Linked DNA regions of Anolis sagrei. The protein of the gene in region 2 purifies or fractionates together with the protein of the main gene of each other region. This does not show direct contact. Links are inferred from orthologs where the notes say so. Each region holds a gene or a part of one and is shown on either strand. Other genes may lie near its edges.

Region 1 (15,612 bases), on a different chromosome or scaffold from region 2:
ATAACATTTTAGCATTTGCAATCAAAGGAAGGGGTAACAAGATCCAAAGGTATTGAATTCTCATCTTATCTGATCATTGGAAATCCCACCTCCTTCCCAGTTAAGCCACAGAAATGCCTTTCATCTGTGCTTATGTTGCTGATTGTTGCAGTTGTCACATTTGCACATGGCACAGAAGAGGAGGGACACAGAACAGTGAGCACAAAGGCATCACACTGCTGTTCAAACACACCATTTGTAAGGCCTGCTCCAGGCGATGGACATCACTCCATAGATACGTCTTCCCAGAAACTAAGATAGATTTGGATTTAAAGAAGACCTTGAAAAATAATTAATAGTGACCTCCTAAAACTCTTTTGATTAAACGGTGAGGATAATATTAAGCACCTTGGTTGAGAACAGGCTTCATTAACAAACCGTGCCATCATAAAGACTTGCACTATTTAATTAAACATTTTTCCTCTGTTAAGTAAATACTGAAGTTGGGCCTGCATTATTGTTCCAATGGCTAGCAAATTTGTAATGTTTTATGCCACCTTAAAAAACCAGCTTCTCTTGTGTCCATTAAATGTATTTATTTATTTATGTACCATATTTATAGCCGGCCTTTCTCAACCCCGTAGGGGACTCAATGCGCCTTACATATATAGACAACAATTCAATGCCATGTAAACATACATATATAATAAAATAAACATATACATTAAAATAGTCATTAAAAACATATCAAACCTTAAAACACTTATTAAAAATCACAATATCCAAAATCATAATCCATGGCCATTCCAGATTGTCATTGCACTATTCCGTATTCTCTAATGGGTTACTAACCAAATGCTTGATCCCACATCCACATTTTTAGCTTTTTCCTGAAGGTGAGGAGGGAGGGAGCTGATCTGATTTCATTTGGGAGGGCCACCACTGCGAAGCCCCTGCCTGTCATCCCTACCAGTCGCGCCTGCAAAGGAGGTGGGACCGAGAGCAGGGTCTCCCCAGATGATCTTAACCTTCTAGCTGGCTCATAGAGGGAGATACATTCAGGCAGGATCCCACAGGTAAATCGGGCTGGAACGTTTAGGGTTTTATAGTCTAAAGCCAGAAATTTGAATTGTGCTTGATAGCAGACTGGCAGCCACTGGAGCTGACATAACAAAGAAGTTGTATGCTCTCCATACCCCACTCCGGTGAGAAATCTGCTTGCTGCCTGTTGGACTACTTGAAGCTTCAAGAGCAACCCCAAGTACAGCATGTTTCAGTAGTCTATTCCCGATGTAACCAGAGTGTGGAGCACTGTGGCCAAGTCTGACTTCCCAAGATACGGGCGCAACTGGCACACAAGTTTTAATTGTGCAAAAGCTCCCCTGGCCATTGCTTAATCCTGGGGTTCTAGGCTCAGCAATGAGTCCAGGATCACTCCCAAACTGCGAAACTGTGGGGGGAGTGTAACCCCATCCAGCACAAGCTGTAACTCTACACCCTCTTCGGCCTTACGACTGACCAGGAGTTCCTCTGTCTTGTCTGAATTCAATTTCAATTTGTTTGCCCTCATCCAGACTGTCACAGCTGCCAAGCGACAGTTCTGCTGTTTGCAATTAAACAGCTTCAAATCAAAACCAAAGAGAGGGCTTCCATGTTTTAGTTTATCCTTTTATTTAATTTAATATAATAAAATAAACTTTATTTATACCCTGCCACCATCTCCCAGAGGTGCAAACACATAAAGTACAAAAATTGCAGAAACAATAACATCAAACAATAACAACCAACGTGAATATCTCACTACACAAAACCCATTGGATAAAATCAGTAAAATTCAGAAATTCAGCTGCAGGTATATGAGTGATAAAAACAAAACAAAAATGAGAGGTTAAAAACCTAGAAAAGCAAAAATCAGGTGATGTGCTCTAAGTAAGTCACCTGATCAAACCTACCCAAATAAAGAGAGACCATAGCTACTCATTCTTCTATTATAGCACACATTGTGGGACAGGGAAAAATGGATGATTATGTTGGTAAGGGAAATATTCATAATAAATTAATTTACCTGTGCAAAACTGTGGTCATAAGACCTATTCAACGAAAACCAAATACTTCATAGTCACGAGCACACAATGGCTGTTTTGGACTCTTTCTTCAAAAGAAAAGTCCTGAACATAGTTGAAATAATATCTCAAACTCTTAGGCAGGTGTACACTTTCCAGAATCCAGAGTAACAATTGAAATGGTTTTTACACCACTGGGAGAAGTTAAAGTTATTGCCTTCCGAGCTTCCATGAACTTCCATGAGTTTGTTCTGTTGCTTTCAATAAACTGTTCATCTATTTGCATTAACACTGCAACCTCCCAGCAGACAAAACTGCCCCGAGGAACCCTTAATTATTAGCTGTTTGAAAATGCATACTCATTTCTCTGGTTAAGCAAATATGCCTCCCACACTCTCCAAATATCAGTAATTGTGCATCTGAAGACACAATGCAGCAGGCAATTAAATAATGTAATTTAGACCTAAGTAGCTAATTCCATCGAGCCAACCTGAAATAGGCCAGGAAGGGGACAGTTCTTGTAGATGCCTGTACCAGATTTCAATCAATAACTTGATTATTAACCTCAGTACTTTGGTTGAATAAACAGTGTAGGAATAATGCTGTTTTACGCCATTTTAAATGCATGGCTCAATGCGATGGAATCCCGGAAGCTGTAGTTTTACAAGGTATTTTAGCTGCCTCTCGCCAAACTACCAATCCCAAGATCCCATAGTAATGAGCCATGGCCATTAAAGTGGTGTTAAACTACATTCATTCTATAGTGTAGAGGCATCTTTAGTGGCAATGCATCAACTGAGTGGATGAAGTTTGACTCCACTTTAATTTCCATGACTCAATGCTAATGAATCCTGGAAGCTGTAGCTTGGTGAGAGACCAGCACTCTTAGGCAGAGAAGGCTCAAGACCTGTAAAACTACAGCTCCAATGATCTCATAGCATTGAGCCATGGAAATTAAAGTGGTGTCTGATTGCATTCATTCTACAGTATAGATGCACCCTATCTACTGTCCTGGCCATTTCCCTGCAGTGTGGAGGAAAGCTGCAGATGTCATGGGACCGGCACGGTGCATTAAGGGAATACACTGAGCTGCCCCTTTAAGGGAATGGCAAGGCACTGCGCCAGCAGAAACAAGGAAGGCCAAGGCGCCTTTCTCCTGTGACTTTATTGCCAATGTGCAAACCTAGGGAAGGTGGGCAAGGAGTCGCTTCCTTTCCACATCACACACATTCACACCAATATTAATGGGTTTTCATCTTAGACCTATGTCTTTGAATATATGTGTGTGTGTGTGTGTGTTTCAATGGCCTAATATTTTTGTGAATTTGAACTGACGTTTTATTAGTAGGAATTGTGATTTCAGTGTGTTTTAATCTCAGGTCTATGTCTTTGAATATATGTGTTTTAATAGCCTTGTTTTTATCTATGGAGAGGTCGGTAACAAATTAATTATTATTATTCGCCATCATCACCAGCCAAGTGCACAGTCCGACTGCCTGGCCAGAATCCCCAGGGGATTTCCAACCACTGGCCTATACTCCCCACACACACACTGTATGTCTCTGGCATGTGCAAGGGGGTCCCTATGTCTTTCCTACAAAACAACCCTGCCATACACACTCTAAATTCCAGGCTGCTCTAACCACTGTGGCTAGTGCTTCCCACCCACCCCCTGGCATGCTATACATCTCCAGCATATTCAATTCCAGCCTGACCTGATCCACACTGGCTCATGCTATAGATCTCCTGCAGGAATGCCCTGTCTTGCAAAAAAAACAAACCCAACAACATTACATTCCAACCAGCCCACCCCAAGGGCCCAGAATAAAGGAAAACAAGAAGGCCTGGCCTTCCTCCACACCAGCTGCTACTTAGAAACATGTGTGTCTGTGTGTGAGTGTTCACTCAATTCCTGGCTGGCAGGACTCTTCCAGGCTGGCAGAGCTGTAAGCATTAGCCCATGTTCCCCCCTGCAATCTGTATCTCTCCAGCATGCATACATATTTCCTGCCTTGCAACCCACTCATCATTCCACTTCCAGGGCCCAGAGGACAAGTAGGCTTTCCTCCCCTCTTCTTCACTCTCTTTCTCTCCCCCTGCTCCTATTCTTCCTTCACCTCTTCCTCTACTCTGCCTTTTCCTTCCTCTCAACTTTCTACTCCTCCCCCTCTTCTTCCTCTCTCTCACCCAATACTTCTTCCTCTTCCTTTTCACCTCATTCTCTTCCTCTACTTCCTCCTCCCTTCCTCTTCCTCACCCCCTTCTTCCTGCCCCTCCCTTTCTTCCTTGTCTTTCCCTCCGTCCTCCTCTCTTTTCTTCCTATTTCTCCTCTTTCCCCCAGCACTTTTTCTTCCTCCCCCTCCTCCTTCTCTTGCTCCTGCCCCTTCTTCCTCCCCTTTCTCCTCTTCTTCTTGTCCTTTCTTCTTTTTCCTTCTCCTCCTCATTCTCTTCCTCTTCTTCCTCCTCCTTGGCTTCCTCCTGACCCTTCTTCTCCCTCCCCCTTTCTTTTCTTCCTCCCCCTCTTCTTGCCCTTCTCTTTCTTCTTCCTCCTCCTCTTCTTATGGTTCCCTTTCTTCTTCTTCCTTCTCCTCAATCTCTTTCTCTTTCCCCTCGCCTTGCTCCTGACTCTTCTGCCTCACCCTGTCTCCTCCTCCTCCTTGGCCTTCCCTTTCTTCTTCTTCCCTCTCCTCCTCCCCTCTTCTTCCTCTCCCTCTCCTTGCTCCTGCCCCTTCTTCTTCCTCCCCTTTTCTTCTCTTCTTCCTCCCTCCTTTCTCCTCTTCCTCATTCACCACTTCATCCTCCTTATCTTCCACCCCTTCGCCTTGCTCCTGTCCCATGTTCCTCCTCCCCCTTTCTTCTCTTCTTCCTCCTCCTCCTCTTGTCCTTCCATTTCTTCTTCTTCCTTCTCCTCATTCGCTTCCTCTTCGCTCCTGTTTATCCCCCTCCCCTTGCTCCTGAGCCTTCTTCTTCCTCTTTTTCCTCTCCCTCCTTCCTCCTCTTCTCCCCCACCTCTTCATCCTCCTCTATTCTTCCTCCCTTCCTCTTCCTCCTCCCCTATCTTTTCTTCCTCCCTTTCTCCTGTTCTTCCTCCCCGCTCTTCTTGTCCTTCTCCTCCTCTTCCTCCTCCCCTTGCTCCTCTCCCCCTTCTTCTTCCTCCTGCTTCTTCCTCCCTTCCTCTTTCTCCCCCCATCTCCCCCCCCCCTTTCTTCTTCCTCCCTTCCCTTTCTTCTTCCTCCTTTCTTCCTCCCTCCCTTCCCTTCCCTTCCCTCCCTTCCCTTCCCTTCCCTCACCTCCTTGAGCTGCTCCATCTCCCCGCGGGCGGTCTCGTACTCGAGCTCAAGCTCCTCGTACTGCTGCTTGAGCTGCTGCTTCTCCTCCAGCACGGCCAGCCCGTACTCGGCCGCCTGGATCTTCTCGCGGGTGGTCTCGCCCAGCTCCTGGAAGAGGCGCTTGACCTCCGCGCGGAGCCACTCCGGGCCCGACTCCCGCACCAGCCTCGCGTACTCCTCCTCGTCCGGCAACGCCGACATCTTCGCCCAAGCAGAGCTGCCCTCAGCGGCAAGCAGCGGCGGCGGCGCTCTCCACCAGCGGGGGAGGGAATGCGGCGCAGGCAGAGCGAGACGGAGCCCGCGCTGGCCACATAGACCAAAATAGGGATGCGTGTGCGTGTGTGTGTGATTTTCTGCAGGCTTCAAAGCCGCGCCAGTCTTCGTGCGGCCATGGCTCCTTTTCCTCTAGCCCTCCTCGCCCAGGCTGCCATTCAAGGGATCGAGTGGATTTCCTGGCTGGCCCGCGGGATCCTCAGAGCATGATTGCGGCGCCTGCCTGCCTGCCCGCTTCCTTCCCTTGCTGCGGCGCTTCTCGCTGGGAATGGAAACCGCAGTGAAATCATTCAAAAGGAACGGCCAGGCGCTGGCCCCGCGGCATTGTAGGAGTTGTAGTCCGCCGCTCCTTAGCGGGCGAGCTTATCCCGAGGCCTCGGAACTACCCTTCCCACAATGCACAGCGAGGGAGGCCAGCCGCAGCCGATGGGAGCCGGCCCTGCCCTCTTGAAGGAATTCTTGGGAGGAGAGGAAGGAGCTGGCGGCGCAGCGCTGCGGGGGCGAGAGCGGCGTCGCCGGATGAGGCTCCGAACAGCGACCCCTGCAGGCCGCGCGCGGGAAGTGCGGCCACACTTGGCTCTCAGCCTGAACGAGGGTCCGCCTCGCAGCTGATTGGGGCTTTCCCTTCATTATTGTCACCATCGTCAAAATCACCATTTTCATCATAATCGCCATCACCATCATTATCCTAGAGACACCAGAGGCACTCCCAAGTGGCCAGCGTCTGGCCAAAGGAAATTTAGCAAAATCCCAAGTTTTCAACTTTGTGGGGTTTTTTATAACTATATTCTCAATTCTCTTCTGACATGATAAATAAATAAATAATCTTATGTATTTGTATTCTGCTTTTCTCCCAAAACAGGGAGCCAGAGTGGCTCACCATCTGAATAGCTATACAATTTACAAATCTTACAAAATGCAAATATTAGAACTATACAAAAAAACGTTGAGTCCCCCTCAGGATGAGAAAAGCAGTATATAAATACTGTAAATAAATAAAATATGATTATATTGCATTATGATTTTACAAATTAAGCCCTAGAACATCATGTTTTATAACAAATTGACAGAAAAAGCAGTTCAATACACAGTAACATTATGTAGTAATTACTATATGAATTCAGCACCAAAATAGACAAGGGTTCTTTCTTTCTCCGTGGATCTGAGCGGGAGGCAGATTGTGTTGGATAATACAGAACACTGGCTGAACAAAGATTGGATAAGCGAGACTCTACTGTAGTGAAAGGGTGAAGGCATTGACATCTCTGGCCCATTCTCTATTCAGATATCAGCCAGCAAACCAATGCTTGGTGAGGTAGAAAGCAATGGGGAAAGAAGAAGACCACATTCCAAGTGGTGTGATTCAATCAAGAAAGCCATGACCCTGAGTCTTGAAGACCTGAGCAGGGCTAAATGAACATTGGGTGGCTTAGGGGTCTCTCATTTATAGGGTTGACTTGATGAAAAGAAATAGGGTTGACCAGGCATGTAGCCAGGGGGGGGGGCTTGGGGGGCTTCAGCCCCCCCCCCGAAATTTTCATGGTGGTTCGCGAAAAGGCCTTATTGGTGCATTATTTAAACTGTTATGTTTATTCCTATCATGATCTGATCACCATACTCAATATATCCCATATGCATGGGGGTATTGGGGTAATGATACAAAAGGTTTGCTAGGCTAGACCCTCTTTCACTCAGACTCAGCCCCCCCCCCCAAAACTCAGCCCCCCCCCGAAACCCCCCCTGAAAAAAAATTCAGCCCCCCCCGAAACGAAATCCTGGCTACGGGCCTGGGGTTGACTTGATGGAAGTCAAGGTGACTCAAGGCTACCCCTCTATTCTGCTTTGGTTAGACCACATCTGGAATATTGTGTCCAATTCTGGGCACCACAATTCAAGAGAGATATTGACAAGCTGGAATGTGTCCAGAGGAGGGCAACTAAAATGATCAAGGGTCTGGAGAACAAGCCCTATGAGGAGCGGCTTAAGGAGCTGGGCATGTTTAGCCTGAAGAAGAGAAGGCTGAGAGGGGATATGATAGCCATGTATAATATGTGAGAGGAAGCCACAGGGAGGAGGGAGCAAGCTTGTTTTCTGCTTCCCTGGAGACTAGGACGCGGAACAATGGCTTCAAACTACAAGAGAGGAGATTCCATCTGAACATGAGGAAGAACTTCCTGACTGTGAGAGCCGTTCAGCAGTGGAACTCTCTGCCCCGGAGTGTGGTGGAGGCTCCTTCTTTGGAAGCTTTTAAACAGAGGCTGGATGGCCATCTGTCAGGGGTGATTTGAATGCAATATTCCTGCTTCTTGGCAGGGGGTTGGACCGGATGGCCCATGAGGTCTCTTCCAACTCTGATTCTATGATTCTATGATTCTATAGAGCATTCTGAATACCACTCACTAAAAAGCAAATTATAGGATTCCATGGGATGCTGTCATGGCAGTTTAAGCATAATTGTGCTATTACCGTGCAGTGTGAGCAGGCCTTAGGACATGTTTCCCCTTTCATCTATATCAATATACTAAATCAATCAAGACAGTACATGAGGCAATAAATTCCTCCTTTGCCTACATCTCCTACATCTTGAAGTAAAATGAAAAATTATAACAAATAAATACCTTGTCATACCACACTGTTATAGTGCTATTATCCCACTTTAACTACCATGGGAACATCCTGTAGAATTCTTAGTTTTACCTCTGTTTATGTATTGTCTGTCCTTGTCAATTGTATGATAGCGTTGAATGCTTGCTGTATATGCATTCTGTAATCCTTCCTGAGTCCCCTTGGGGAGATAGGGCAGAAAATAAATAAAGCATATTATTCATATTAGTAGTAGTAGTAATAGTAGTAGCAGTATTGGAGCCCCCTGAAGACCGACAGGTCAGAGATTTGAATCCAGGAAGAGCACAGATGAGCTCCCTCTGTCAGCTCCAGCTCCCCATGCGGAAACATGAGAGAAGCCCCCCAACAGGATGGTAAAACATCCAAACATCTGGGCATCCTCTGGGCAACGCCCGCACAGACAGCCAATTCTCTCACACTGGAAGCAACAGTTTCTCAATTTGCTCCTGACACGATAAGAAACTATTATTAGTGAGGCCCAAAAGCTTGCTGAATACCCAAATTGTAAATACTAGGATTCCATAAGATGTTGAAATGACAGTTACAGTGGAAAGATAGTGCTATAACAGTGTAGTGTGATAGGACCCTCGATGATCAATGCACTTTTATGATACCCCAGATCTGTTGTCTTGAGACAGACATCTCACTGTGTTAAATGAAAAGAACAGTACCGCTCCTTCCTCACCCCAAGGAATTGCAACAGTCTCTCTGTTAATCTAACAAAACAGCATGGAAATGCATTATTACAGTTTTATTATTTTAAGGAAGACGTTGTTGCTAAGGTGGAGAGCCACTAAGGTGATGCTAAGGACTGGGCAATGATGACTCACCTTCCATCTTTTCCCCAATCACTTCTGGGTTTGCCCAGTGGGAATAAGCAGCTTTGTCTCAGAGATTCCCCAGCAGGGTACCAATATAAGAGAAGGAAACCCAGCAGGTCGTGGAGCTGAAAAAGGATTTGGAGCTGGGTTTCCCACGTCATGGAAACCCTACTTTAATGCTCCAAACTTGTCCTAGATTCCATTCAAAGTGCCATCTCTGTGCTTGGCCTTTCAAAAAGCTTATTACAAAGTCTGTGGCCAAAAGCTTCCTGAGTAAATTTAATCATGGAAAAAGAGAAAGAGATCTTCTGAATCCATAAAGTGGCTATAGAACTGGAAAACATTTGAGAGCTCTCACAGTGGCATTATATAATAGCCCTAAAATTCAGGATTATTTTTTTAAGGAGTACTTCAAATTTCCTCCTGGAATCACCCATTTTTCAGAAGCTAATGTAATTCACCATGTTACTTTTCATCATAAATAAATGGTAGCAAATTCAGAAGGCAAACCAAAAACAATTACCCGTCCTGCACACACCTGGGGATTAAACCACGCAGTACTTGCCCTGCCTACTGCCAAAGGGCTTTATAAAACACTTTCATCTTCTACCTTTCAGTCATGTTGATCCAACCTGGCATGCTTAAAGCATCAGCATTTATTAAGAGGACATTTAAGTTCACCTGTAGAATCATGCACTGTATCTGCAATCTGAGCATTTCATGTTGTGTGCACGGTGAGGCTGGATTTACCACGTGAAAAAAAAAACTGCAATGACACACTAAATTCTTCACTGTTATAAAACTTTCCGGAAACAAAAATATAAAAGTTTGATGTAATCAGCTATTTTTCTTCCCTCATTCTGAAATTAAATTTAATTGCATCAAGCATGAAAATATTCACATGTTCTTGAACACCCAGCATGTATTCAGTTTTTCCTTCAATTCATGTTAGGCCACGTGGCTTGAATTTAATTGAACTCCTAGTGGCGTTTGGTCTATTAGCTCATGTGGTTTACTGGTAACATAGTTAAGTGATTTTAGACCTTGAATTGAGTGGTCTAAGTAAATGAAAGAGGAGGAGCTTTCAATGTCCATGTTTAACATTTCAGAAAAAAACCCAAACATTTGTCTTTTGCACCTCTTTCTGCCACTTCATGCTTTACAAATGGTGCATTCTTCATATTTTTAGAGCAAAACAAAAATGACAGTTTGGCACTCCCTGTTTCTAAAAAGCAGTCTGAGCATTATTATTATTATTATTATTATTATTATTAACTTTATTTATACCCACCTTTTGCCCAGTGGGGGCTCAAGGTAGCTAACAATCCCACAGCTAGTCAAGTTTAAAAAGCACAGTACAAAAGTTTTAGAACATGAGCATGTGCAGAAACTGATCATTATTGAAGATTCATATGTTGTTGGTTGATGTTTGCTTTGATATTTGGTAATGATGTTATTTTTATTTTGTTTTTATATTTTAACTATGTTGATTGAGCTCATCCCCATGTAAGCCACCCCTTTGGGGAAATTGAGTCCCTTTGGGGAAATGGAGGCAGGGTACAAAAATAAAGTTATTATTACTGTTAAATGTTAAGCTCACTTCTATCATAATAGTAATAAAATGGAGTTCAATTTATTTCAGATGACCCTGATACTAAATGTATTGACAAACACTATTTTGTTAGATTCACAGAATCTTTGAGCTGGGATAGACCACAAGAGTCATATAGTCTAAACCCTTGGCATATGGGAAGACATAGCTCAAGCACTCCTAAAAGATGCCCTTCCAAGATGTTTAAGGACCTCCAAAAACGGAGAGTCCACCATCTTCCAAGGCAGTCTGTTCCATCGTTGAACAGCTCTCACAGTAAAAAATGTCCTTCCTAATGTTTAGATGGAATCTCTTTTTCTTCTTATTGAAATCTATTGCTTCATATTCTAGTTCCTGGAACAACCGAAACAAGTTCTCACCTTCTATATGATCTCCTTCAGATATTTAAAAATGGCAATCCTATCATTTCTCCAAGATGGACACAGTAGAGAATTATTAATTGGATTATCTCCCTGAGGCACAGTCTCCTAGAGGAAGGTGCCCCCATGCAATTCTCTCACTCCTGTTCCTTGTAGAAAGAAGTATTGTAATATATATTTCATGTAAAATCTAACCATGTATATTTTTGGCTTCTCACTCCATGGTTTTAAAATGTTTTATAAATGAGCAAGGAAGGATACTTCGGCATCAGTCCTGTCTGGACCAAGCAGATGCTGATGCCAAGCCTCTTTCTCATTACTCCCCACAACTGCTGCCATCTAAGTTTGTGATGGAGAGAGGACATTTATTGCAGGGTCCCAAAGTGCAGCTCTGGCTGCATCATTAAATTTTATGTAAATCTTCATCAAAAGGGACTGTGCAATGCTGCAGTTTTGGAAGGCTGGGGACTAAACAGGCTTAGACATTCTTGTTACCCAGATAAGGAAATGGCCAATGCATTCCCCTCTGAACAGCTCCTCAAATAAACAATTGACATTCCTCTAGGTTCCTGTACTGTATGCAATTCCAGGCCTCTCCAAGGGTTCTTTTTGTGCTGGAGACTGACACATGTTACACATTGGTGGTAAATGATGCAGCAGATGGTACACTTCAGAGAAACATTCATGGCATTTCATTGAAGGGCTCCAGCATGTTCCCACAGCTGATGGTAGAACTGGGCCCCAAACAAATTCTACCCACTTATCCCTTGGCTGGTAATCAAATTTCCCATTGCTTAGAATACAGTATGTCAGACTCCCCTAGTCTGGGGAAAATACTTTATCCTGAAGTTAATTGAAGATGGGCTCTTTGGAGTTATATAGTGCAGAAGCAAGTAACAAAAAGGGAAGAGCTCAAGCATGACCCATCTCCCTGCTAATAGCTATGAGAACTGTATAAGTGGTTCAGCAATAGAGGGGGAAATCATTTCTCCAGTTCATTCTCAGCTTTCATTGCTGTTTTCAACCTCAAACTGCAAAGTAAATGGAAAAAATATTCCAACAAGATTATTGCTGCAAGTTAACTTTTTATGCCCCTAGACTGCTGTTAACTTCTAGCTGAAGTGTAAAGATTGCATATACCTGGCTTTGGCAATATATCTTGAGAAGGAGGAAATTGGTAATCCAGGAAACAAACATGCTATGCCCAGGGAACCCGTGACGCTGTTCCAGGAAGAAATTCAGGAGAAACTGAAGCTGAATGGACTTCAGTCTCGCCTCAATTTCCAAACAAACAGGTAACAATGGCAGTCTCTAAATCTACAGTTTTATTCTAATAGCCCAAAGCCAGATTTTGGAAATTGAAAAAAGCTTACAGGACCATTTAGTTAGCACATTTCAAAGCTCAGACCAAGCAAAGTACCTGGCTAAAATGAATCAAGAGACTACAACTCTCAAGAGCATATACATTTGGATGTTGTGGATAATCAGTGACCTACCCTACTGTAGAGATTACAGCTGTAATATTACCCCCCACCTCCAGCAAGATGTATTAAAATACAGACATACATAATTAACAATGGCTCTTTCCAATAAATATCATATTAAAAAAAGATTATTATGCCTGCTGAGCTCTCCGTTTTTGTCTCCATCCTCTGTTTAGTTAGAAAAGTTTTAGATCATTGGCATTGGGAGGAAGGTGAATAAAGGCCGGAGAAATGCAGACTTTTGTGCCTGGCTGCAGCATAATATCTATAATAAACAATCCCCCAAAATCTTGGGCTGGGAAAGAATGGGATTCTATCCTAGCCAATCCTAATATAGCTTTGTGACCCTGGCCAAAGTAAGCAGCAGCTGCCTCTTGAATCCCTTACTGAGCATGTATGAACATGAAAAGGAAGAGAGAGGAAGAGAACAGAGAAGGCAGCCTCACCAGGTCCCGTCCCCATCCCCTCAACATAGGTTTTTAAAGCATACATTTAGAACTTTCACTACCAAAATCAAAATCTTAAGAAAAGTGAATGCTTGTGGAAGAAAAAAAAATTACATGGTGTATTTTGGATGAAGACTTGGGGTTGTCTTTAGAAAGGTGAAAAAGTTTGTATTTACATGTGCAAGGCTTACCAAATCTGGTAGTTTCATTTCCATGTGTAGAGTTAGTTTTGAATTAAACGATTGTTTGAATATGTTGAACTGCTTTTCTTTTTGTAGTGTAAGAACCCATCCCCATTCCTTACATGTTTTTCTGCTTCTGCTACTACATTTTCTGTTAAAGAAACAAAGGCTCAGGATATATCTCTTTCATAGATTATAGTATAGCTGTACAAACATCTTACAAAAACAGGTGAAATCATAGAAGTATCCTCCCTTCTAGTGAATGTGATCTGTCAATTCAGTCTCCGTAATCATGGTGAATATTAATAATTAAAAATAAACTAGCAGAAAGGGTAAATTGCAACATGCTCATTAGCTGATGAGTTGAGTGGGGAACAGATCTAGGTAATGACTAAAAGAAGGTGGGGAATGTGTGGTCTTCCAGATGTTGGAATGCATCTCCATATTGTACTAGTGAGTGAGCATGAGAAATGCAATCCAGTAACATCTGGAGGACCACATACTCTTCTTTCTTGGTCTAACGACTCTCCTGAGATGAGTTAAGATAAAAGCAAAGCCTGCCTTGGTATATAAGCTGAAAAGATGTGTGCCTCCCAAGATTTCATTAGTTTGTCAATGTCTCTGGTCTAGAAAAGCATAAGGCAGGTTTCTGTAAAGAGTTTCCAGACATTATTAAACTGAATGGAAGATTCCCTTCTTCATGACCAACACCCAGTCTTTAATTTTGACAGGGGGAAGTGGCACTCATAACTAATTGGAAACCACACCTCTAATCTAAATACCATCAATGGAAATGAGATCTGCACATGCTTAGAGACCCACTCCTCTCTAATGATGAATGAGATAAATGGCAGGCAATGTAATAGGCTGTTTTATGGGAAAGGAGAGGATATGAACTCTAGGAAGGCAGGGTAGAGGCAGCAAATCTAATCTCACTGCATCTTGATGCACTCACCATCAGCTGAAACCAGGCCACCAAGTGTCAAGGACCAAAGATGAATTTGCATGCCTGTACTATTCACAGAAGCTATATGAGCAGAATGTACCAAAAAGAGTTTCAATTTGTTATTTACACTAGGACTAAACAAAGCAATCCTATGTTGCCTTTTGGCTCCCCAAGACCAGATCACTCGCTTTCTGACCAAGAAAAGTGTATGAGAGAAAATTGCCTCTCCTGGAACCTTCAAAGAATGAAAATCCATATCTTAAATAGGCATAGGGTCTCTTAGACTGTTCAATATATAACAAAACAAGAATTGGGTTTCTGTCCACTGGGGCATTTTTGGTTTCAGTATGGCCACAAAGAACCACAAGAGCACAAAACTCTGGACTCACCATCAGCTGAAGCCAAGCTACCAAATGTATAGTGCACATTCACATGAAACAATAAAAAAGAAAGATTAACTTTAAAATGGTAGAAGCACAAAGCTGTGAGAAGGAAACCCATTTGAGGCAACAAAATGTATGTTGGCCAGTGTAACAACAAGGCAAAACTTGCACATTCACATTCACATGGAACAATAAAAATGGTAGAAGCACAAAGTTGTGGCAAGGATACACAAAGCAAAAAGGCAGTAGCATCTTTCTGTACTCATCATACTGTACTCATTCCAGCCTCCTTCCCTTTCTTTCTCTCTCCTGCTTTCTTCATGAAACCAAACATAATAGGAGTAAAAACCACACAAACTAATTTCTGCAAAAGCAACAGCAATCTCCCAAAGTGGACAAGAGCACAAGGCTAAAGCCCCATACTCATGTGCTAGTGCTCCTTCTCACACTAGCCCTTAATGCAAAGTGCTGCTTGTGTGTCAAGGTGAAACCAGGGCTGAGCAAGGCTTTTAAATTGGATGTTCATAAGTTGAGATTCCACTGTATTTTTTGAGGAATTCTGAATTTTCTACCTCTTACCTGTATCACTGAATGGCTGTTCCAAAAGGTACACTAGGGGATTCTAAGTACCTTGCCAAGACAAGAAAGCCAGGATTCTATAGGTATCAAAGCACCATAATTGTGCAGAAGAGAAACAAGGTGATACCAGAATCTGACAGAACCCATAGATTTTGATGTCATTTCAGTTTGTCCTGATAAGGAAAGCACAATCGTGCCAGTAGTCTTGACACACAATAAGCCCTCTCTACACTGAAATACTTGCTGCTGCAGCATCTCTTCCCACAATACGGTAATTCTTCTCTCCTTTGTATTGCATTGGCACAACAGTCGGGAACACCACATTCTGAATTCTTACTTGTGGACTCATGTAGCCACAAGCTGAGGAGTATATCTCCCTAGGTTACATCCAAACAAGGGCTTTGCAAAAGCTAGAAAGATTTGCTATTGAACAACACATCCAGTTACAGCAAAGTGCTGAATGTTTAACTTTTAGAAACTCAGTGGTGAAAATAATTTTTGATCTTTTGTCTTTCCTATCAGATTTTATTT
Region 2 (16,181 bases):
TCCGTATTATCTGATTTGAACTGGATTATCTCAGTCTACGCTGCCATATAACCCAGTTCAAAGCAGAGAATGTGGATTTTATACAAATGTGTAGAAGGAACCTTAGAGAGCCTCTTGCCACTCTTCCATCACTTTTTTTAACCTAAGGAAATTTCATAGCACTGTGACCTTTCTCTTTTCCTTCCTCGCCCCACACCACCAACTTCAGGAACCTTAGCAGCATTGCCCCCTGATTTTGTGCTTTGGTGCAGTTCAGCAAAGTGGAACAATATGATCCCATTTGGATTTGATAAATAAAAAACAGAGTTATATGTGCTAGTCATGACCAGACACCAAGCTGGAATTGCTGCTAAGTCAAGGGGAAAAATGTGCCTGCAAAACTGCAAGGGCTTGGAAGAAGTGCAAGAAAAGAAAAGGTGCTGGTTTGTGTAGTTAACCAGGGTGCTTGAAATTCAGGCACTGATCCTAGATGAAATTAAGCTCAATAATGTAGACAACTGATTGCCACTGAGCGAGTCTAACACTATTAGCTTACATATCTTAAGGCTAACAGTACAGAGGCCCATAATAGAAGGATTAAAAGCTTCATGGGAAGTTAGCTCTTTCTTATTTCCTGCTAGCGAATACAACAAATGAGTTGTTTCTCTTTTGTTTCTGTACTTTACAGAAAAGGGAAGGAAAACTAGCCATATAATGATCCAGTTAGCTGAACAAGCAACTATTTCTTGAGCTAGAATACGGTAAATACAGTGTTCTCTCACTTATCACAGGCGTTACGTTCCAGGTCCACCCACAAAAAATGTAAGTCCACAAAGCAGAGACTCCCTCCCTCTCTCTCTATATATATAATGCACTGTGAGGGTGAGGCAGAAGCGAGGGGAGTTTTAAAGGAACAGCACACTTTTTTGTTGCTAGCTATAAGGGGCTATAAGCTATATTGGCTGAGTGGGTTAAGGTGGTGGTTAATGCTTCCCTTCGGGAAGGCAAGATTCCAGCGAGCTTAAAACAAGCTATAATAAAACCGCTGTTGAAGAAACCATCACTGGACCCCACTAAATTCGACAACTATCGGCCAGTTTCCAATCTCCCCTTCTTGGGCAAAGTCTTGGAACGTGTGGTGGCCTCACAACTCCAGGTATTCTTGGTAGACACGGATTATCTAGACCCGGCACAGTCTGGCTTTAGGCTGGGACATGGTACCGAGACAGCCTTGGTCGCCTTAGTGGATGATCTGCGCCGGGAGCTCGACAGGGGGAGTGTGTCCCTGTTGGTGCTGCTTGACCTCTCAGCGGCCTTCGATACCGTCGACCACGGTATCCTTCTGGGACGCCTCGCAGGGGTGGGTCTTGGAGGAACTGTTTTGCAGTGGCTCCGGTCATTCCTGGAGGGTCGATCTCAGAAGGTGTTGTTGGGGGACACCTGTTCAACCCCACAACCATTGTCTTGTGGGGTTCCTCAGGGCTCAATATTGTCTCCCATGTTGTTTAACATCTACATGAAGCCGCTGGGGGAGATCATCCGGAGTTTCGGGGTACGGTGTCATCTGTACGCGGATGATGTCCAACTCTGTCACTCCTTTCCACCTGCTACTAAGGAGGCTGTCCAGGTCCTGAACCGGTGCCTGGCCGCTGTGACGGTCTGGATGAGGGCGAACAAATTGAAATTGAATCCAGACAAGACAGAGGTACTCCTGGTCAGTCGCAAGGCCGAACAGGGCATAGGGTTACAGCCTGTGTTGGATGGGGCCGCACTCCCCCTGAAGATGCAGGTTCGCAGCTTGGGTGTGACCCTGGACTCATCGCTGAGCCTGGAACCCCAGGTTTCGGCGGTGACCAGGGGAGCATTTGCACAGCTAAAGCTTGTGCGCCAGCTGCGCCCATACCTTGGGAAGTCTGACTTGGCCACGGTAGTCCACGCTCTGGTTACATCCCGTTTGGACTACTGCAACACTCTCTACGTGGGGTTGCCTTTGAAGACAGCTCGGAAGCTCCAACTAGTCCAACGCTCGGCAGCCATGATTTTAACAGGAGCGGAGCGCAGGGAGCATACAACCCCCCTGTTGCGCCAACTCCACTGGCTACCAATCTGCTACCGGGCTGAATTCAAAGTGCTGGCGTTGGCCTTTAAAGCCCTAAACGGTTCCGGCCCAAGCTACCTATCTGACCGCATCTCTGCCTATTAACCCACCAGGAGTTTGAGATCTTCCGGGGAGACCCTGCTCTTGATCCCGCCTGCTTCTCAAGCTCGGCTGGCGGGGACGAGAGATAGGGCCTTCTCGGTGGTGGCTCCTCGGCTGTGGAACGCCCTTCCTACGGACATTAGACTAGCACCATCTCTAATGGTATTCCGCAAAAAGGTGAAGACCTGGATGTTTGTGCAGGCGTTTGAGTAATTTAGTGCAATCTGGTAATGGAACATAGGAATGGAACAATGCACGACGAACCTGGACTACACTTGGATGATGAGAAGATTGGGTACGGTTGTTTTTTGTAATAATTGTGCATTGTAATTGCTTATTGGTAATTTATGGATAATGTGTTAAGTCAATTGTTATATGTTGTATGGAACCACTGCTGTTTCTACTGTTTTTACTGTTTGTGAACCGCCGTGAGTCGTCTTCGGGCTTGAGATACAGCGGTATATAAGCAAAGTAAATAAATAAATAAATAAATAAATAAGGCCGTGATTTACATACTGCTTTGTATCTCCCCTCTCTCTTTTTTATGATTGGCTGCCTCTCTCCCGAGGGGGGGGGGAGAAACCCCCTTCCACACTCCAAATAGCAAAATAGCGAGTCCACAAAAAACGAACCATGAAGTAGCGAGGGAACACTGTAGTTTCAGACTCAGTTTTAGTGTAGTCATGCTGTTACACCTTTTTAGAAATTATTTTCTAACACTCTAAATTGTATTTCAAAATAAATACTGAGTATATTTCAGTAAGAATCTTAACCACACATCTAGCATCCATGTAACACAAACAATGTCAGTAATTTCTCACCTTGTAACAACCTACAGCTTTCTCTATGTTATCTTCCGCTTCATAGAGTTGTCCCAAGAATTTGTGTGCCTTGGGATCTCTTTCTTGGACACCAAGGTATGTAGATATGTACCTTTGCAGAAACAGCATAGCAAGTTAACATGCAGGCAGTTAATGACTGATGATAATAATCATTATGTAGTTATAATTAAAAGAGAATCAGGAGCACCAACTTTCATGTATACTAGGCTTGGTTGATCCAGTTCGTTAATTTCTTAATTCGTTATTAATTTGTTAAATAATTGTGCTTGGCCTCCAATTTGTTAAATAATTACCTTTAGAAGCGATATCGACGCGTTTTGGCAACCCGGAAGTGTTTTTGCCATATCGAAGCCGCGCCCCCATCTTCCTTACGACTTCCACCAGTGAATCGTAAATGCTGGGGGCGTGGCCTTTAGGAACAGCTGTTTTTACCCACGCTCACCTCCTTCCTCTTTGCATCGGCAGCTTTGCGAGGTGCGCATGACTACCTCCCTGGCGACAAGCGGCGATGCGGAACAGCTGGGAGCAGCCACACCCACCTTGCAAAGCCGCCGATGCAAATAGGAAGGAGGTGGGAATGGCCAAGCGCAGCGCTCCTCGCTCAGAGGTCGCTGGGGGCGAGGCCTCCAAGGAGTGCTGTCCTTGGCCACGCCCACATCTCCCTTGGACAGCTTGCCAGAGAGGAGAAAGAAATGTGAGAGATTTAAAAACCAACACTTTTGAAATCTCTCACCTTTCTTTCTCTTCCCTGGCAAGCTGTCCAAGGGAGAGGTGGGCGTGGACAAGCACAGCGCTCCTCACTTGGAGGTCGCTGGGGGCGAGGTCTCCGAGGAGGGCTGTGCTTGGCCACGCCCACCTCTCCCTTCTGCCGCAAGGGAAGGAAGGGAAACTGCGAGATTTAAATGGTTCTGGAGGGAGGGAAGGGCACCTTCCATTAATGAAACAAAGGAAACAATTTGTATTTCCTGGTAATTTCGATCTTTTTTTAAAGAAAATTTCGGAAATACTTTAAAAATCGAACCTCCAGCATACGAAACGAGTTTAGAACCATTTTTTTCTTGATCAACCAAGCCTAATGTATACTGTTTTAAAGTTTCACTGCACATTGTTAAGGAATATCCAGCATTTGTTCTGTACACTATAGAAACATACATGAGAAATGCAAGAGTTACTATAAGCATATTACACATATACTATATACACTCATGTATAAGTCAACTTCACATATAAGTTGAGGGAAGGTTTTGGGGCAAAATTACAGATTGTGACGTGACCTGTCAATAAGTCGAGGGTCATTCTGTGGAGAAGGAAACATTTTCTCACGCAAACATTCAAAAGGCCAGAAGCAGTCGCTGCTACAAAGGAGAGAGTTAAGGAGGCAAATACTTTTTAAAAGTTCTCCTGATATGTACTAAGTTCTTACTTTTTTGCCACACTCTCAGAAAAGGGGATCGTTCCTTTTTTATAAGAGTTAAGAGACAGTACTTACAGTGACTCAAGGATAAGACAATCTAGATATTCTGATTGATTTCTGTACTAAGATTTCAAGACTTATACATGAGTACTTGTCACACACTAAACTGGAAATCAAAGATCTCTAAACAGAAGATGCTCAAAACCTAGAAAAAAACCATTCTGAAACACAGCACACAAGAGCAAGTTACTTCAGAGATCTTTTACCTTTTAGCAAGTTCATATTCCTTTGCTTCGTAGTAGAGCTTGGCAAAAAAGAATCCTTTCATGGATTTCTAAGAGAAAAATGTAGGTTTTTAAAAAAATGCCTAACATCAGTTATTTATAGCTTGAATCTTGTAATGGGATGGATTTTTAAATGCAATGGTTCAAACTAGTCCACATTGTCAACAGTTTGAAAGTCATTGTTCCTTGTTTTTACTAACACGTGGCCAAGATTTTCTTAGCAACTGCTTAATGACCCATCTCTGAAAATATGTCAATTCACACAGAACAAAAAAAGAGCATGTCAACGTTTTTCCAGACCCAGATATTCATTTCTGAAATGATTATTCATTCCATGTTGGCAATATAAAATACCTTACGTTCACAAGCACCTGAAACATTCTGAAGTCCTGCCACATATATTTGTTCTTGTTACAACCCATTAAAGTAAATGATGACAGGGATGTCGAGAACAAGTGTTTCAAGGGTGATAGGGTGGCTATTTAAAAGCACTAAATATTTCTGTAAACTTTGAGATACAAACTAGTCACTCCAGAAAACCACTTTTCAGATGTATCAAAAAGTTCCTCCCTCAACAACAAAAATGTAGATCGCTAGGTGTTCCAAGGTAAAGAATGTTGTGTCAAATGTTGTGTAACTGAAGCTATACTAGCCCATCATTTCAACCTAAATTGGAAGTTAAGGAAAAGCTACTGGGGTGTTTTTTTTAACGATTATGAAAAAGGTCACAGATGTCTCATTCTAGCCCTTTTATAACAGAGAAAAGCGAACATAGATCTCTCAGAAATGCAGTACACTGTATTTCTGAGAGATACTATTTAAGTCGATACCGATTGGTATTGGTTTAAATAGTTTTAAAAGTTACAAATAGTTCTTTTGTGGTTGCAAAATTACGTGTCACATTCAATTCTTAACACATGCAACATTTTTATGATTTACTGCAAGTCATCCTGAGCAACCGTTGGCCATAAATGTTTATTTCATATTATATGGCCAGAGAGACTTGAACTGGGATATCCTACTTACTATAGACCTGTCTTATCTCCTGCTAAATCTGAAGATCCAGTTAGCATCTCCCTTTTTAATGGCATCTTGAGAACCACATAAACGGACCACTACCTAGGTAGGACACTTTAAGTTATTGCCAATGGAGACAAACATTAGATTTTGCAGAATTGATGAATTCTGCATGCTGAATGGTGATTTATCAGAACCCAAGTTGAGAATATAATATTGTTTCTCATTTTCTAGACAGGAAAAAAATTAAAGATTTTTGTGTCACAGAGAAGAATGTGAATTTGCAAAACTCTGTTCTGATAATAGAGTGGAGTAGTGCATGCAAAAAATATAAGAGGAACCTGTCTATCTCTTTTTTTGATGTGCTACCTTCTACTTTAAGAGCAGGGATCTGTGCAATCAGATATTCTGTTGGCCCAACATAGGTTTTTTTTTTTGCATTAGTTTAAAATTCAACACAGTACGAGATGTGTATCCACATTCCTGGACTTCACTTGGACACATGGAGCCACAGTAATAGCGAATCTTATTGAAATGATGGGTATTTGGCTCAAGAATACCATAAACTCATGCTAAGGGATCTAGAAAATACCTGGAGAGGACATATTTTGCCAGACATGGGTAAATAAAACTGCCGGTGCAAGCGCCATGGATAAGGGACACTGTAAATAGATACTAAGTAATGTTTCGTGTGTTCAAGGTTGGCAATCATTAAACTGGATTTTCAGACAAGTGAAAACAATGGAAGGCTTTCCATATTGGAAGAAATCATCTTACTACCTGTAACTTGTTGCTCTGGGGCAACATGGTCAAATAATATCATTTTTTAAAATTAACACATCAAACATCATTTTTTGTTATTAGGAGTAATATTTACTTGTTACGTTTTTTGGAGTGGTCCACTGGTGATTTAGAAAGGATGTGGGCCAGTTTATCAATTTTAAAGGGTTAAAAAACAACAAGGAGTGTTAGAACCAATACTTTGAACAATGGTGATTAATCCATTCAACAATCCATTCAACAAAACCCTTAAACAACAATGAACAGAATACTTGCTACTAACAACTAGAATCAAAAGTTAAATTTAAATAAAGCAACTAATTTGCCTCTTCGGTCCCTTGCAAAGTAGACAAGAATTCAGTATGGAAAAGCCATTAAATTATTTACAGTGAGAACTTGCAAAACAGAAATTTTCAAACATCATAATTTCTATAAGCTTTTAATTATCATACATGGGTTCTAATTAAATGTGTTTGAGGAAAAGAAACATATGATTTAAGAGCAGACAACTGGAGGCCAATCTAACAAGCGCACAGATATTTGCACGTGAGCAACGTTCACAATATTGAGAAGCGAACAGCAACCTATGTTGCATTGCCTTGAGGCTGTTGTAGATTTGATGTTGTTTTAATAGAATACTTTAAAAGCTGACATAGGAAGTGAAAGGTCAACAAAATAGCTAGGGTTGAGTTTGGAGAATGTACAATCCACCCTACACATTAGTGGGGTTCACTTTATGGATCTGACTATTTGCAGATTTTATTATTGCCTTTACCAGAAACTCTGAGATCTCCAGTGTGACTCTATGGTAACTTCTGCCAGAGTTTGACTGCAGAGATGTAACAGAGAATGGCTTCTTAAACCTTTTTCACTTGAGAAACTTTTATATTACCCCAGGTATATAAAATGGGTATAAGAAACAAAGATTTATTGATAGCAAATCAGCATTTGCAAAATTTGTGAAACAGGCTATTTTTCTTTTGGTGGAATACAGATGAAGCGTTTTTTGCAGAGCCCACTGTAAACAGTACACACTGTTAACAGATTTGTGTAAATGGTGGCATTCAGACACACATTTTCTATGATTCCAACACTGAGGTACAGCGACTCCTTTAGGGTTGGGATCCTGAGTTTAAGAAGCAGTGTGCTCAAGGGCCTAGAAATTCCTAGAGAGCATACCTCTCTAGAAATCTCCAATCCTCCTGTACTTTGGCAGTGTTTGGCAGGGAAGTCTAAAGGCCTTGTCAAACTACAGGTCCCAGGATTCCATAGCATTGGAGCTATGGCTGTTAATAGTGGTGTAAATGCAACTCAAGAGCGTTCCCGCCAATTACACAAAAAGTGTTGGCAAACAGGAGCAAAGGGGAAGCCACACCACGGGGGCCCAGCCCGGCTTCCTCCTCCTTTCCCTCCTTCCGAGAGAGGCGCATTTACGCGCGAGTGTGCGGTAGGGGCCCGGCGCGCGCCGAAGCCCATTGGAGAACGCCTTCAAAAGCGAACGTTGTGCGCACCAATCAGCGGCCTCCTGCGAACCCTTGACGGGAATAGCGCTGAGCCGGGCACCCTTCCCTGAGACAGACGCCCCCACCCAGCCAGCCAGCCAGCCCTCCGCACTCCGCCACTCACCTCTCTGGGAGAAGACGCCGAGGCCTGTAGCGAGGTCACGTAACGGTCGACTTCGGCCCTGTTGCGCCTCATCATGGTGGCGTGCGGCCCTCACAGAGCGCCCTGGCGCCGCCAGAAAGGAGGAGGAGGGTGGGGAGCCCCGCAGAGCCGGCCTCGTAGCTTCCCCTCTCGAAGAACGATGATGATAATGACGCCACCACGAGCGTCAGTACGCGCGGGCCTCAATACACGTCTGTTACGTCAGCGGCGCGACGGAAATGACGGGCAGCGGTGGAGCGGAAGCGCCTAGAAGGCGCGCTTCCTTCATAGTATCGAGGAAGGGGTGTGGCCTATCGATTTTGCGCCCATAGAGATAAATAAATAGGGATGCACTCACTTCGCGTAGGGAGAAACCTTCCGAGTTCCGTTAGACATATTAAGGGTCCCTTATCCCAAAGTGAATGGGGTCAGAAGTTTGGGATTCCGGGTTTTTGGATACCAGTCAAGTCTGTAGCCAGAATTTTGATTCGGGGGTGGGGTGGGGGGGGTGAGGATCTACCCTAGCAAACCTTTTGTATCGTTATCCCAATGTTGTTGTTCATTCTTTCAGTCGTCTCCGACTCTTCGTGACCTCATGGACTAGCCCACGCCAGAGCTCCCTGTCGGCCGTCACCACCCCCAGCTCCTTCAAGGTCAGTCCAGTCACTTCAAGGATGCCATCCATCCATCTTGCCCTTGGTCGGCCCCTCTTCCTTTTGCCTTCCACTTTCCCCAGCATAATTGTCTTCTCTAGGCTTTCCTGTCTCCTCATGATGTGGCCAAAGTACTTCAACTTTGTCTCTATCTCCTTCCCTCCAGTGAGCAGTCGGGCTTTATTTCCTGGAGGATGGACTGGTTGGATCTTCTCGCAGTCCAAGGCACTCTCAGAACTTTCCTCCAACACCACAGCTCAAAAGCATCGATCTTCCTTCGCTCAGCCTTCCCTAAGGTCCAGCTCTCACATCCGTAGGTGACTACAGGGAATACCATGGCTTTGACTAAGCGGATCTTTGTTGCCAGTCTGATGTCTCTACTCTTTACTATTTTATCGAGACTGGACATTGCTCTCCTCCCAAGAAGTAAGCGACTTCTGATTTCCTGGCCACAGTCTGCATCTGCAGTGATCTTTGCGCCTAGAAATACAAAGTCTGTCACGGCCTCCACGTTTTCTCCCTCTATTTTCCAGTTGTCAATCATTCTTGTTGCCATAATCTTGTTTTTTTTTATGTTTAGCTGCAACCCAGCTTTTGCTCTTTCTTCTTTCACCTTGATTAGAAGGCTCCTCAGCTCCTCCTCGCTTTCGGCCATCAGAGTGGTGTCATCTTCCCATCTTCCAATGGCATACCAACATATCTCTGGTTGTACTGGTCCATTTAGTTTTTTTGGCAAGGATACTGGGGTGGTTTGCCGTTGCCTTCCCCAGGGATCACGCTTGGTCTGCCCTCTCTGCCACGACCGTCCCGTCTTGGGTGGCCCTTCACGGTTTCGCTCATGACATCATTGAGGTGCTCAAGCTCCAGCGCCACAACAAGGCGGTGACCCTTTGCTGGAGCGTTATCCCAATACCTCCATGCATATGGGATATATTGAGCATGGTGATCAGATGATATGAATAAACATAGGTAAAGGTAAAGGTTTTCCCCTGACATGAAGTCCAGTTGTGTCCGAATCTGTGGTGTGGTGCTCATCTCCATTTCTAAGCCGAAGAGCCGGCGTTGTCCGTAGACACTTCCAAGGTCATGTGGCCAGCATGACTGCATGGAGCACCGTTATGTTATGAATAAACATAACTAGTGTACCAGTAAGACCACCCTGAAGCAAGCCTGTAGCTGGGGGGGGGGGGCTCGGGGGGGGCTCGGGGGGCTTCAGCGAAAAGGCCTTACTGGTGCATTATTTAAACTGTTATGTTTATTCATATCATGATCTGATCACCATACTCAATATATCCCATATGCATGGGGGTATTGGGGTAATAATACAAAAGGGTAGAGGGTAGACCCTCTTTCACTCAGACTCAGCCCCCCTGAAAAAAATTCAGCCCCCCCCCCCCCCCCCCGAAACGAAATCCTGGCTACGGGCCTGCCCTGAAGCCCCTCAACCCCCCCCCCCACATGCCTGAACCAGTATTTGCATATAATGGCATATTTTGAAAATGAGACCCAAGTCTAAATGCGAAATTTGTTAATGTTTCATATCTGATTCACATAGCTTGAGGGTCGCTTTATACAAATTATTTAAATTCTTTGAGTGTATGAAAACACATACACATAGGGTGTATAATTAATGAAGCATGACAGAACCTTAACTATGCTACAGAATCGGGGGAACTGTTGCACAGAGTCCTGGCGCCTCACCAAATACAATTCCCATGATTGCATGCCATGGCAGCTAAACCGGTGTCAAACTGCATTAATTCTACAATGTAGATGCACCCGTAAGACAGACCAACAAAAAAAAAGTATTGTAACTTCGTTTTTTGGCCTGTTTCTGGGATTATTTGGGGCATTGATTCAGAAAATGGCATTGGATAGAACACATCAGCTCTAGTTTCTTAGATATGGTTACCATGATTTCTCATAGGCGAGCAGATGAAGGCTGATATATAGCATGTGTTCTGTATCTCAAAAACTTGAGCTGAGAGGGGGAAACTGATGCCAGTTTTTGAATCAGCAGGCCAAATATGTCCTGAAACAGGCCTAACATTTGAGGCATCAAAATGTGTGTTGGCTAGTGTTATCATTAACCCAAGAATGATGAATTTCCAAATAAAGTAAGAACTTGGTCTCACCTCTGATCACCACAAAGCGGTCTTCGGTTTTATACCATCACAACTTTATTTTCGGTAGATTCTTGACCCAAGGTATGTTCTGTTATTATTGAGATTGGGCGTTGAGGAGCTTACAAAGCTTGTGGGTACATTTCAGAGCCTGTGATTGAGGGATTTTTTTTATTGTGTGGGTACATTACAGAGCCCATGACAGGGATTTTTTTTATCGTGTCAGGAGTGACTTGAGAAACTGCAAGTCGCTTCTGGTGTGAGAGAATTGGCCGTCTGCAAGAACATTGCCTAAAGGACACTGAGAAATTTATATCTGGGGATTGACATTACCAAGGCCACTGGTGAAATAGGTCATCCAGACTATTGCTGTTTCCCTGACTGTCAAGGAAACAGCATAATATGTAGTAGAAGAGTTAATAGCATAGTTTGGGAGTTTTGGGGATAGGTATAATTTTGGAACCAAGATTTATGATATGAATGCTTAGACCCAGTTCTAAACAGGGAGGCAGGGAGGTGGAGCGACAGCAGAACCAAGCACAGCGTCCAAAGATGCTGGAAGATGGGAAAGCCCATCTATACGTCTATCTGTTGCCTGTCTTGTCATTGTTATAATTGGCACTGAATGTTTGCCATATATATGTTTTCTATGATCCACCCTTAGTCCCCTTCAGGGTGAGAAGGGCAGAATAAAAATATTGTAACTAAATACATATTTAAAATGTTTTTATACACAGTATTGCTATTATTATACCACCACATCATTTTTGGATACTGTTTCTATTGTGATGATGGTGATATGATGATGACAATAATAATGATAATAATTTTATTTCTTATCTGCCTCTCCTGATGGACCTTGATGAACCATCAGGTCAGCATAATTATAAATTTGAAACTAATTTATGAATGAGATTTGTCATTCCTTTGTAATTTTGTAGCAAAATCAAATTTATGACAATACAATCCTACATGTTTATTCCCACTGAGTTCAGCTTTGAAATCCTATATACAATTATTTGGAAGTAAATTCCATGAACACTTTGGTCTTGGGACTTATTCCTACGGTAATTTGGGGCTCTGATTCAGAAAATGGCATTGGATAGACCGCAATACAAAGAGCAAAAAGCTACTATACACCAAAAGTAATACTGTTATATAATCATAAGGATGTATAGCATATCTATGCTATGGTACTCCAGCATTCAATGTACTAAGCAAAGTATATTTAACAAAGATACATAATGTAAATCTCTAAACCAAAAATTCCTTATGTGGGATAAACAACTGATTCCTGCAGGAAAATGCACAAGGTTGTGAGTTGGATAGACCGCACCATCTCTGGTTTCTTAGATATGGTCATCATGATTAATGGGCAAGAAGATAAAGACTGGTATATGGCATATATGGAGGACTGTAGTTACTTATATGTAATCTCTAGCCAGCAAAGAAAGAAGCTGAAATAATTATATTTTATTAACCAATTAACACACAACACTCTCAGTTGGAATCTGTACACGTTCAGATTTTTATTTTGTGTACTATTCTGGAATAAGTGAATTGAGAAAATAAAAAGGAAATTAGCTTTGAAAATTATCTTTTATCATTAAAAATATTGACATTGAAAAGGCTGAGTATATGCCATATCATTTGAAAGGCCTTGGCATGAATGGACTGCATAAAAATACAAGGTAACGGTATATAGCTATTTTGGCTAATATTGCATACATATGGCAGAATAAGGCACAAGAAGGAAATGAAATACAAAAGCACACAGGAATATGTATCTGTTATACAGAAAAATTCCCATAATATTCAAGTAGCTCTGTGTTTATATATATTTTAGATACACAGGACTCTGTTGCCATTTTCTGGGTTGATTTGCCATCTTCAAATGATGCATTCTGGAGTCATTGTGTTCCAATTATGTGAGAACTGCAGTCTCCGCTCTTGTGTATACTAGTCAGTTAAAAAGTTATTAATCTCTGCAAAGAGTTGGCAAATAAGGCTTCTTTAAAATTCATATCCAAGGTGTTAAAAATCTTAGGATCTCCAAAATTCAGATATATTGAATTCTTTCCAATAAACTTTAAAAAGGCCTCCTTTTAGAACACGAACTTGTCTTTTCCACTGCTGGAAGTTTTGGTGTTCTAACACTTTTGCTTTTAAAGAAGGAATTCTAAGCAGGCAGCAACTGGAATGGGCATATTAAAATAATGCACCTTTTTCTGCTGAAAATTCAGCAGCAAATACTTTTTTGGGTTTCAAGGTTTTGAAAATTGAGATGCTTATTATATTCAATAGCGCATTAGATGATTAAATATGGTAGTTGTTGATTCCCATTAGTTCACAAACAATAAATTGTATAACCAGAACTAATTTTTCAAAAAATCTCATAACTGTTCTCAAAAATGTTAACATTAAAACTGGCCAGTTCAGAACACATTGCTTAGTATGCTTAGCAGTTAGAAGCATTCCTAAGTTGTCATTTACAGCAGAACAGCCCTGTTAGAATACACTCAACTTTTAATATTGAATAGAAGAGTGTTTAAAACAAATGCATATATATGTACTGATAAGCAATCATTTGGCCATGATTCAATTAATATTTTGTTGGCACTGAACAGGGCACTCCTTGAGATAAACCTATGACTAACCACCAAATAATTGTCTATAAGATTCCAGTCCCAAATGAAGCATACTCTCCTGCTAGGATCCAATGATAGGTTGGTTTCTGGTAAGAGGATTTAGTCAGGTTCATATGGTAACTGCTTCAATGTATCACCAAACTTCCTTGAGCCCATTTTCAGAGATCAAAAGAAGAAAGTTATGTCATACTGACAGTCGGGAGCCAGCATAATGCTGGATGTATTTCTACTTCATTTTGGTTCTGCTACATTTTTCTCCAGCTGACAATAATTAGACAAATATCGTTGGAATTCAGTTTATAATGATTTGGTCTTTTTGTCAAGGGAAATCTTATACTTCATTCCCAGTGTCCACTATTTTTTTCATCCACTATCTGCTAAGCAAATACAAGGGATGTATGTTTTTATATATCTATAAAGCCATATAAGATACATTATTTAAATGGTTGAATATGAGCTTGCTTAAGATGAAAAGCATGGTTATGGAACATGTGGCTTCTATATATTTCTAGACTGTAAACACCTTAATATTTGCAATGATCACTAAGACTGATGGCTGTAGCAATCCAATTACATATGGAGAGCCACATGTTTCCAAACCTTAACATGAAAGTGTTTTAGAGGTATATTTTCAAAGTGAGGCAAATGTATTAGTGTATAGCTAGACATGCTGAGGAATACTTTTCTTCTGAGTTAATGTTTGATAGACTCAACAAAAGTAAGTCTGTTTACATCAATACAATTTCCTACATGTTGCATAGCAAGAGGAGGTCTAGAAGCAGAGGGTTTCACTTTCTTCCCAAAGTTTCAGCCAATTTCTTTAGTCTCTTCTTGAGTTCCAGTGGGAACTTCTCATAGCACTTCTTACAGACAGGCTTCATATCAAATTCCACAAACTTGTTTCTGGAAAGGAAAAATAGGTGTCTTAACAGATACAAATAAAATCCATACATGTATACAATTAGCTAACAATAAATTAAAACTAATCTCTACAATTCAGTATAAATTACACTACTGTCGTTTTTGGAAGTTTATAAACATAAAGACATTGTTATTAGTGCACAAATGCCTCCCAAATTGCTGAAAAATACATGTCGACGTGGTCTTTTAGTTCCCAGCAATTTGTTTTGAGATGTCTCTTTTAAAATGAGCACATTTATGCTAACATCTACTGTTTTGTCAAGAGAGATGTGGAGATCAGGATCTGAAATTGGGATCTTTTGGGATCCTGTTGTTCTGTTAGAAAAGGTGATCCATTTTCCCTTCTGCAGTTCCGCTTACACCCTGAAATATATTTTGGTACCAAGAGAGCTGCAGGGAAGAGGAGGAAACCACAACTTATAATGGCATTGGATATTGAAATATACTATTAGACCGTGACCAGTAATTTTTGCAACAGGCAAATCCAAGCATTACTACTCCAAAAGTATAATGCAGCCACTGCATCTTTTCCTTCTTAACTGGTTTTTCTCTGGAAAGCAAAACAGACTGAAAAAACTGGGAAAACAAAGGAAGCTATAACTGAAAGGTGATGACGTTGGATTCCCTTAAAAGTCTATGAACAAGGCAATCAAATTTAACAAGGCAAACCTCTCTGGAAATTTCTCACATTCCTGCTTGAAGTTGTGATTGAACTCTTTGAGATATATATATATATATATATATATATATATATATACACACACACACACACACACACACACACACACACACAAGTACTACCATGCATGCAGGATGCATCCCATACCTTACTCCTCTAAAATGCCTTTAGATATTGAGAATGAAACTTTATTTTGATCACATTTGCATGCACACCACAACATCTAAAAGAAAAGCTTTTCCTTCAAACTGACCAAAAGAAAGGAAGGAGCAGAGAAAGTAGAAGACAGGAATGAAATGTTTACAGGCAAACTGGCTTTTTCTTTTTATGTTTGTCCTTTTCCTTTTGTTCACGCTCCCGTTTGGCAAGTCTCCGCTTAAACTCTTCTGGCATTTTCTCATAACAGTGTTTGCACACAGGTTTAAGATCGATTTCAACAAACTTGTCCCTTTCAGATAAAGCAAAGAAGAAACAGTTGGGAGAACAGGAAAGCATCAAGAGTCAAGTCAAGTAGAAGAACAGAATTCAGCAGAAAACAGAAATGAAGTGAAAACAGCAAATATAGTAATGGGAAATGATTCCTGCCCTTTGCCTGACACTGAAACATGGCTTTGTTACCACAGAACAGGAAAGCCATCAATTGCTTTCCTATGCATGTACACTGCTAATGTTCATAAACACAGCTTCATGTGCTACATTGGCATAAAACGTATGCTATATACACTTCAAATGCATAATGAATGAAACACTCTTACAACCCCTACTTGCATATACTGTGGAAAATGAAAAGTGGCAGTGGCCAAATGTAAAATAGGCTAGGGGAAAAAGAGAGTGCACATCTTTTTGTATTATACAAAACATATATATATGGTGTACCAATTTTGGAGTGTGTACACAGCATATAGTCTTTAATTCTACTTAAGTCGGAGCTTCCTTCTTCCAAATGTGGATCTTAACGGAATTCATGGTAGTGTGTAATCATCTTGAAGCTGTGACC

What was found.
Region 1: the proteins of E3 SUMO-protein ligase RanBP2 (region 2) and BICD2 purify together in Homo sapiens (affinity purification with western blotting; 3 studies listed by BioGRID and IntAct, with this or other methods). This does not show direct contact. The link is inferred for Anolis sagrei from reciprocal best matches to the Homo sapiens genes RANBP2 and BICD2.

The regions. Positions count from the first base shown.
Region 1 is NC_090022.1:61,124,076-61,139,687, reverse strand, and holds the start of BICD2 (protein bicaudal D homolog 2), read right to left. Parts: upstream 6,054-15,612; 5' UTR 5,573-6,053; coding exon 5,333-5,572; intron 1-5,332. UniProt on the Homo sapiens protein: Acts as an adapter protein linking the dynein motor complex to various cargos and converts dynein from a non-processive to a highly processive motor in the presence of dynactin.
Region 2 is NC_090023.1:107,219,864-107,236,044, reverse strand, and holds the start of E3 SUMO-protein ligase RanBP2, read right to left. Parts: upstream 8,395-16,181; 5' UTR 8,218-8,394; coding exon 8,143-8,217; intron 4,770-8,142; coding exon 4,702-4,769; intron 3,113-4,701; coding exon 3,001-3,112; intron 1-3,000. Other genes in the region: LIMS1 (LIM and senescent cell antigen-like-containing domain protein 1), read right to left, coding at 15,485-15,632. UniProt on the Homo sapiens protein: E3 SUMO-protein ligase which facilitates SUMO1 and SUMO2 conjugation by UBE2I. Involved in transport factor (Ran-GTP, karyopherin)-mediated protein import via the F-G repeat-containing domain which acts as a docking site for substrates.